Linked DNA regions of Mus musculus. The protein of the gene in region 1 purifies or fractionates together with the protein of each later gene. This does not show direct contact. Links are inferred from orthologs where the notes say so. Each region holds a gene or a part of one and is shown on either strand. Other genes may lie near its edges.

Evidence for each region. Proteins that work in one complex are often made in the same cells at the same time.
Region 2: the proteins of Gp6 (region 1) and Lyn purify together in Homo sapiens (affinity purification with western blotting; 5 studies listed by BioGRID and IntAct, with this or other methods). This does not show direct contact. The link is inferred for Mus musculus from reciprocal best matches to the Homo sapiens genes GP6 and LYN.

The regions. Positions count from the first base shown.
Region 1 is NC_000073.6:4,394,875-4,399,099, forward strand, and holds the start of Gp6 (platelet glycoprotein VI precursor), read right to left. Parts: upstream 2,871-4,225; 5' UTR 2,811-2,870; coding exon 2,777-2,810; intron 1-2,776.
Region 2 is NC_000070.6:3,782,621-3,786,269, forward strand, and holds part of Lyn (tyrosine-protein kinase Lyn), read left to right. Parts: intron 1-352; coding exon 353-484; intron 485-3,649. UniProt on the Homo sapiens protein: Non-receptor tyrosine-protein kinase that transmits signals from cell surface receptors and plays an important role in the regulation of innate and adaptive immune responses, hematopoiesis, responses to growth factors and cytokines, integrin signaling, but also responses to DNA damage and genotoxic agents.

The DNA of each region.
Region 1 (4,225 bases):
TCCCAAACGCACTACCTCCCTCCTCTCCTCTCAGCCCCACCCTTACAGATCCATTCCACCCATTATTCCCTCCCCTTCTCGCCCTGGCACATCAAGTTGCATCCAAACTAAGCACATCTCCTACTGAGGCCCAACCAGTCAGTTCAGCTAGGGGAAGGGGATATAGTGGAAGGCAACCAAAATGGAGACAGCGCCTGCTCCAATTGTTAGGGGACCTACATGAAGACCAAGCTACACAACTGCTTCAAATGTGTAGGGGGGCGTAGGTCCATCTCCTGCACATGTTTTGATTGGTGGTTCAGTCTCTGTGAGCCCCCACGGGCCCAGGTTTGTTGATTCTGTAGGCCTTCTTGTATTCTTGGCCCCTCCAGCTCACTCAATTCTATCCCCCCACTCTTCCACAACTCCCTGAGTTCTGCCTGATGTTTGGCTGTGGGTCTCTCCATCTGTTTCCATCCACTGTTGGATGAAGCAAGAGTCCATTTTCTTTAGGGTGTTCCCTCACAAAGTTGACCATAATCTAGTGGAAGGTCACATACCCAAGAGTATATAGGCTGCACAAACTGCACTTGATAGCTTTAAACACGTTTTTTAAAGAACACAAAGTTGAGTGAATAGAGGAAAGGAAAGGATTTGGGGCAAAGGTATATGTAATCTAAACACACCCCACAAAATTCTCAAAGATTTATTTTTTCCTCTTTTTCTCTTTCTTTTTCATTTTCTTCTTCTTCTATAACACTCCTGGGAATAGAGCCACAAGATGCTCCAACATGAAATAAGAACACATGCTCCATTATGTTCATAGCAGCCATATTTATGATAGCCAGAAACTAGAAGCATCCCAGATGTCCCTCAATAGAGAAATGGATACACAAAATATGGTGCATTTACACAGTGGAATACTACTCAGCTACTAAAAACAATGACTTCATGAAATTTACAGGCAAATGGATGGAACTTGAAAATATCATCCTGGGTGAGGTAACTCAGTCACAAAGGAACAAACACGCTATGTACACACTGATAAGTGGATATAAACCCAAATGTTCGGAATTCCCAAGATTCAATTCACAGACCATATGAAGCCTAAAAAGAAAGAAGACCAAAATGTGGATGCTTCAGTGCTTTTTATGAGGGTGAGCAACACATACTCAGAGGAGGAAATATGAGACAAAGTGTGGAGCAGAGACTGAAGGAAAGGCCATCCAGAGACTGTCCCGCCTGGGGATCCATCCCACATAAAGCCACCAAACCAGGACACTATTGTGGATGCCAGGAAGTGCTTGCTAATGGAAGCCTGATAGGGCTGTCTCCTGAGAGGCTCTGCCAGAGCCTGATAAATACAGAGGAGGAAGCTCGCAGCCAACCATTGGACTGAGCTCGGGGTCCCCAATGGAGAAGATGGAGAAGGGACTGAAGGAGCTGAGAGGGTTTGCAGCCCCACGGAGGTAGCAACAGTGTCAAAAGGTCAGACCCCCCCAGACTTCCTGAGGACTGGACCACCAACCAAAGAATACACATGGAGAGATCCATGGCACTGGCCATATATGTGGCAGAGAATGGCCTTGTTGGACATCAGTGGGAGGAGAGGCCCTTGGGCCTGAGGATGTTCAATGCCCCAGTATAGGGGAATGCCAGGATGGGAGGATGGAAGTGTGTGAGTAGGGGAGCACCCTCATAGAAACAGGGGGAGGAGTAATGAGATAAGGGTTTTCTGTAGGAGGACTCCTAGAGACTGAACCACCAATCAAATAACAAGCATGGGCAGGACCTAGGCTCAGATGTGCATCTTGGTCTTCTTGTGGGTCCTCCAACAACTGGAGCAGGGGCTTAGCCTGACTCTGTTGCCTGCCGGTGGATCCTGCTTTCCTAGCTGGGCTGTCTTGTCTGACTTCAATGGGAGTAGATGTATCTAGTCTTACAGTGCCAGGGTAGGTTGGGTCCCCAGTAGGGACCTCCCCTTCTCAAAGGTGAAGGGGAGGGGAGGAGGAGGAGGAGGAGGAGGAGGAGGAGGAGGGAGAGATGCCTGTGAGGGAGGACTTGGAGATCTGGATAATAAATAAATAAATAAATAAATAAATAAATGGATGGATGGATGGAAAAAGAAATTTTTTCGGATTTCTTTTGCTCACTATGCTATTGTTATACTAAGGCTTCAAAGGTTCAGAATTTTAACAACCACTGGAGTGCTGAACATTTTGGTTACCCATTCTCTCTTTGTACCTTTGGGTCTCCTGGCTGCTGCCCCTGGTTTCCCTCTCTTCCCTCTATCTTCCCTTCCTCCCTCTCCCCACATGACTCAGGGTCACATCCTCTCTGAACTCTCCCAGAAGTCCCTGCCTCTGGCTATGCTCTCCCACATATCTATAATAAACCTTTTTCTCCACAATATCTAGGGGCAATCATGTCCCTTTCCTTTTTAGTTCACACACAACAAATAAATAAATAATAAATGTTTTTCAAGTGAAAAGAAAAAAGAGGAGGCAGAGGGAGAGGAGAAAGACAGAGGGAGAGAGAGAGAGAGAGCACCTTGGTGTTTCTGGTATAGAGGGGGGAAAGTGTAACCAGCCCAGGAACACATGCTCAAGTGTCCTAGCCAAGCCAAAGCAAATTAAAATAATTAAACCAAACATATCACATCTCTATTTTCCCGTCCAGCAACTGGAACCCCATAGACACCATTATTGTACTGAAATTTACCACTGACAAGATGTTTTTAATTTCTTTATATATAGGGACTGTTCTAAGCATTTCCCAGGTCACCTTCAGGACTCACCAATACAGAAGAAAGTGGGTGAGGCTGGAGACATGGTTCTGCAACCCAGTCCTGAGCTATGTGGCCAAGCAGGGAAGTTGTAGATGCCTGGAACATAGGAACAGGATGCGCTGAGGGTGAAGAACTCCCCTCCTCCCTGCTTCTACCAGCCCCAGATTTCCTAATTGAGAATCATCAAGACAGGGTCATCTCCTCAGTAGGATGACTTGCACACAGCTTTTAAAGCCACCACTTATCTCTTCTTGCCAGCTGTATGGCAGCCTGTATGTCTGTTTGCCTTGGAGGAGCATAAACTGTGTCTTAGACTCCCATAAAATCCCTAATGGTTACTAGGGAAAGCATAGTCCATACTTCATAGACTGCCAGGTCCAAAGGTCATTCCAGTTCCCCAAACTCCAAAGGGCAGTGCATAAGTACAGAAATAAGAATCTTGGCCCAGCTCAAGCTAGACTATAGAAGAATTTCTGGCAGTTAGGTAAAAGTCAGCATTTCTCAAGAATTTGTGAAACAGTTCTAGATATCTAGAAGTCATCTCCTTTGCCTCTCCATTGGCACATACCTATGGTTGCATATCAAAGCCCAGGCTTGTCTCCAGGCTCCTACAGTCTCTATTCACAAGTAGGTGTTATACCATTCAAAACCCCACACTAGCATCCTGGCCCTTCTCAAATCCCAGACTTTCCTTCTTCTAGACAGCCATTTATTCTTGCTATTTCCATATTCTCTGCTATTTCTCCTGCTCTAGCCCTGGCCAAGTCCTGTCTGATTCTTTTTATTCCTAGTCTGGACTCTCCCAGATGCCTCTGGATATTTAGTCTGACTTGCTCAAAAAAAAAAAAAAAAAAAAAAAAAACAACTCTCCCCTCCTAGGAGATGGAGCAGCCATTTAGGTGGATTCTTTATTGTGCCCTCTCAAATACATATACCTACCAGGATCATTATAACTCCAAAAAGTGAAAAACATACCTCATTCCTGACATATGGAGTGATTTTTAGAAGTTCAAATCACTTAGTGATCTTCCAAAGGACTGCAGCTCAGTCACCAATGCCACATTAGCCTATAACTCCAGCTCCAAAGAATCCAATTCCCTCTCATTTACATACATACATATAATTGAAGTTAATTTTTTAATTACCCCACCCCTAATTGAGGAGCGTTTGGTAGGTGATGGCCGCTAATGGCAGGAAAGTCATCATTCTTCAGTGGTTTGACCTATGGTAGCTTGCCCATGTTTCATTGGATGGCCCTACACCTATGTGTGTATGGTAGCTTGCCCATATTTCATTGGATGGCCCTACACCTATGTGTGTATGGCGAGCACTAATTGGACTCAGGAAGTTACAAAAAGAAGATCAAAGGAAGAAGGGAGAGTAAAGGAGGAAGAGGAAAGAAAGTGAAAAGAAACACGGCTTTGTGGTCAAGTGTTTGCTGATCTTCCAGTGGACCTT
Region 2 (3,649 bases), on another chromosome or scaffold:
CAGGTGCATGTCAGCATGCTAAACTCTAGATAAAAATTTCAACACATTTGAAAGGCCAACAATATAAGAAAATTGTATTTGCACTGTACACCATGCCCTTTTGTGTTTAAAGTTGAACTGGCTACAGTGCCCCATAGAGGTTCCAGAAGAAACTGCTTCTAAGGAGGGGAGGACCCAAAAGGGATATGCAAGAAAGGGAGGTGAACAAATTTGACACCACATCCATTTTGATTGTATCTTTTCTATTCCAAGTAAATTACTTAAATTTCAAAAAAAAAAGTCAAAGAAGAAAATTACTCATAACCCATCATTAGCTTGAACTCTGAGTAGGAGCCCACATCTTCCTCCTCAGGTGCGAAGTTCCCTATCAAGTGGACAGCTCCAGAGGCCATCAACTTCGGCTGCTTCACTATCAAATCTGACGTGTGGTCCTTCGGAATTCTCCTGTATGAGATTGTCACCTATGGGAAGATTCCCTACCCAGGTATCATTTCCCTACACCCCACTCCATTGTGAGGGGAGAACAAGCACCCCAGAGACAATAGCTCTGTCTACCCAGATCTGTTCTTCTGACAGAACTTAGGTCCTTACCCTTTATGCAAATCTTACTGAACGATGCTTAGATGTTTCTACCTCACTCTTCCTTCAGTGAGTTCACCACTTACTACATTGTGCACCTGGCGCTGCTCCTGGTGTTTCAGTGAGGCAGATTAGACACTAGTGCCCCTCTGCCAAAGCAGGGTTCCAGATGGGGCAGACCATGTCCAAGGAAGGAGGGTCTTCAATGTCTTCTGCTAGTTGTGAGAACTGTGGTAGTGGCTCTTACCCTCTTCAGGGGGTAGTTGCTACTGTTCAGCACTGAAGGACTCTTCTGATCTTAAAGGTAAATCTTTAGTGGCTTGAGAGATAAGTCATCAGTTGAGAGCACTGGCTATTCATGCAGAGAACCTAGGTTCTAGTCCCAGAGCCTGCATGGCCCCTCACAGCCATCTACCAACTCCAATCTCAGGGGATCCAACACCCCCTTCTGGCCTCTGCAGGCATTGCTGGTACATAATGCACAGACATACATGTAGGAAAAACACCCATGCACATAAAATTTAAATTAAGAGGAGAAAATTGCAGTTAAATCATTAAAGTTACTAATTGCCCTATTCATTTAGAAATACCTGGGCGCATGGTCCATACCCAAGGCCAGAAGGAGGGAGGTTCTCCACCCTTCCCTTCATGGGAGAAACTGATGCTTAACAGATGATTTCCGCTTGTGGTGGGGTAAGAGATGCTGGAGAAAGCATGTGGATGGCTATGGGCTACCAGGAATTCTTGCAAAGAAGGGATCTACTGTCTTTACCCAAGGGCTATTAATGTCTGAGACTCAAAGGCATGAGGGAAGGAGGCTTGGAAGTTGAGAGTTGAGCATCCCACAGTGGCAACAGCTAGCTTTGGACTTGGGCCACAGGAAGGAGGCCAGTGTGATTTGGACCTTACTTGATACCTGATGAATGAATAATGGACAAATGAATGAGTAACTCAGGAAGGCTAAATAACCTTAAGACAGTCTCCATACTGTGGATGAGATACTAGGAGGTCAGAATATCAGAGGAAGCAACGGACCCAGGGCCAGAGAGTGTCACAGGCCATGGGCCTGGGTTCAACAGAGTACTGATGACTGTAGGAGAGCCTCCTGTCACACTCAGCTTGTCAAGATGGGGAGATGGTGGTGAAGTTAGTGATTTAACACCGCTATAAACTAGGAAAACTATTTCTACTTATCCACAGTATCTAAACTGACAGACATCATTCTGTACGTAAGCCTATATCTATCTAACCCTACAAATATATATCTATCTACCTGTACAAATAAAAGATTACATATTCATATATATATATATATATATGATACCTGACATAATAATATAATATTACATATAATGTGTGCATTATGTGTAATATGTTGTTACGTGTGATATTCCAGCCAAGACCTCTGAGGCTTGGAGAAAATGACAGGGCCCAAACCAGTGGCAAAGGTGCTTCTAAACTATGGCCGAGCACCTCCTAAGACCTTCTGCTTGCCTATCGCTTTTGGTGTTCCAGATTTGGAAGGATTCTGTGTGACTGAGTGAGTGAGTGAATGAGATCACAACTCTGTGTGTGTGTGTAGAGTCCACAGCATTCTGACCAGAACTACTCTTAGCTCCTTAGAGGACATGATTCATAGACACAAAGAAACAGGCAACATTGATGACTGAGAAATCTCCACCCTTTTGCAAAGCTGCTATGTAGAGAAAGCCCTTGTGATTGGGTTGTCTGTGACCTTCACTACCCAGAAAAGTGTGTGTGTGTGAAGATCTTTTTTAAAAGGTGTTTTAATCGACTATGTGACTATTTACAGAATAAAAAGGGAAGAAGAGGAGAAATAAGAAAGCCATGAATAAAAAGAACATAATTATGTGGCAGGGGGCTGAAAATGTAATTTACCAAAATGCTATTATATTTAGGCAAAGAGATAATAGAGTAGATTAGTATTTCTTCTTGGCAAATTTCTGAAGTTTCCTTTCTTCTTTTCTTTCTTTCTTTCTTTCTTTCTTTCTTTCTTTCTTTCTTTCTTTCTTTGAAGTTTTTGTATTCTTTAAAACTACTTGTTATTAAATAGTTTTATTCTTGTCAAAAATAATATATGCACATTAGAAGCTGGAGAGATAGTTTAGCAGTTCAGAGCACTGGCTGTTCTTCTGCAGGCCCCAGGATCAGTTCCCAGCATCCACCCGGTGGCTCACAATTGTCTGTAACTCCAGTTCCAGGGGATCCAGTGCTCACTTCTGACCTCACAGTCACTGCACACACATGGTATACAGACATACATGCAGGCAAAACACCCATATACATACACTTTAAAAATAAAGGGGGAAATGTGCAATAAAAGGTCAAACTTTCTAATAAAAGATTCCCATTCTTCCCGACCCATAGATGGTTTTCAAAGAAATTGCTCTCAGAGTCTGGCTACTTAATGATTTGCAGCTCGCAGTTCTAAACATGTTTTTAACTTTCAGTAGTGTGGGAGCTGTCCATCATGCTTATCATTAAATAAAATGCTCACATGGTCCCAAAATCAAGAAATAGATAGCTATAGAGTGAAGCATGTCTCCCCTCTACCCTGAGCACACAATTCCCAGCCCACGGACAACCTTTTGTACCAGTTTTGAAGCCAGAGACCCACAGAAAAGAATTAACCGCTTTCTGTTCTCTGCTCAGCATGGGTCCCTTGTCATAACATCCTCCAGACCATCCACAGTGTGACATGTGCCATGGTGTCTGGCTCTTGTTCCTGCTGTCCAGCATTCCTTCCCCACAGTCTTGCTGGAGCGTTCTCTATTCAGCTCACTCTGGCTCCTCTCTGTTGGTAGAGCAGAAGGCTGGGCCTCCATACAGGAAGTAAGTGTGTTGCTTTTGACTTCAGGAGCTTGCTGCTGTCAGGTGGAGAACTACAAGGTGAGAAGCAGAGAGGCAAGCAGGCTCATGCAGAATGAACTAGGTCGTGGGGATGACACACTCCCTAACATCTCTCTCCTAAGAGATTTTATGTGGGCCCTCAAGAGCAGGCACTGGCTCCTGTGAGAAAGGCTTCCATCTTCCTTAATGACCTAGCAGC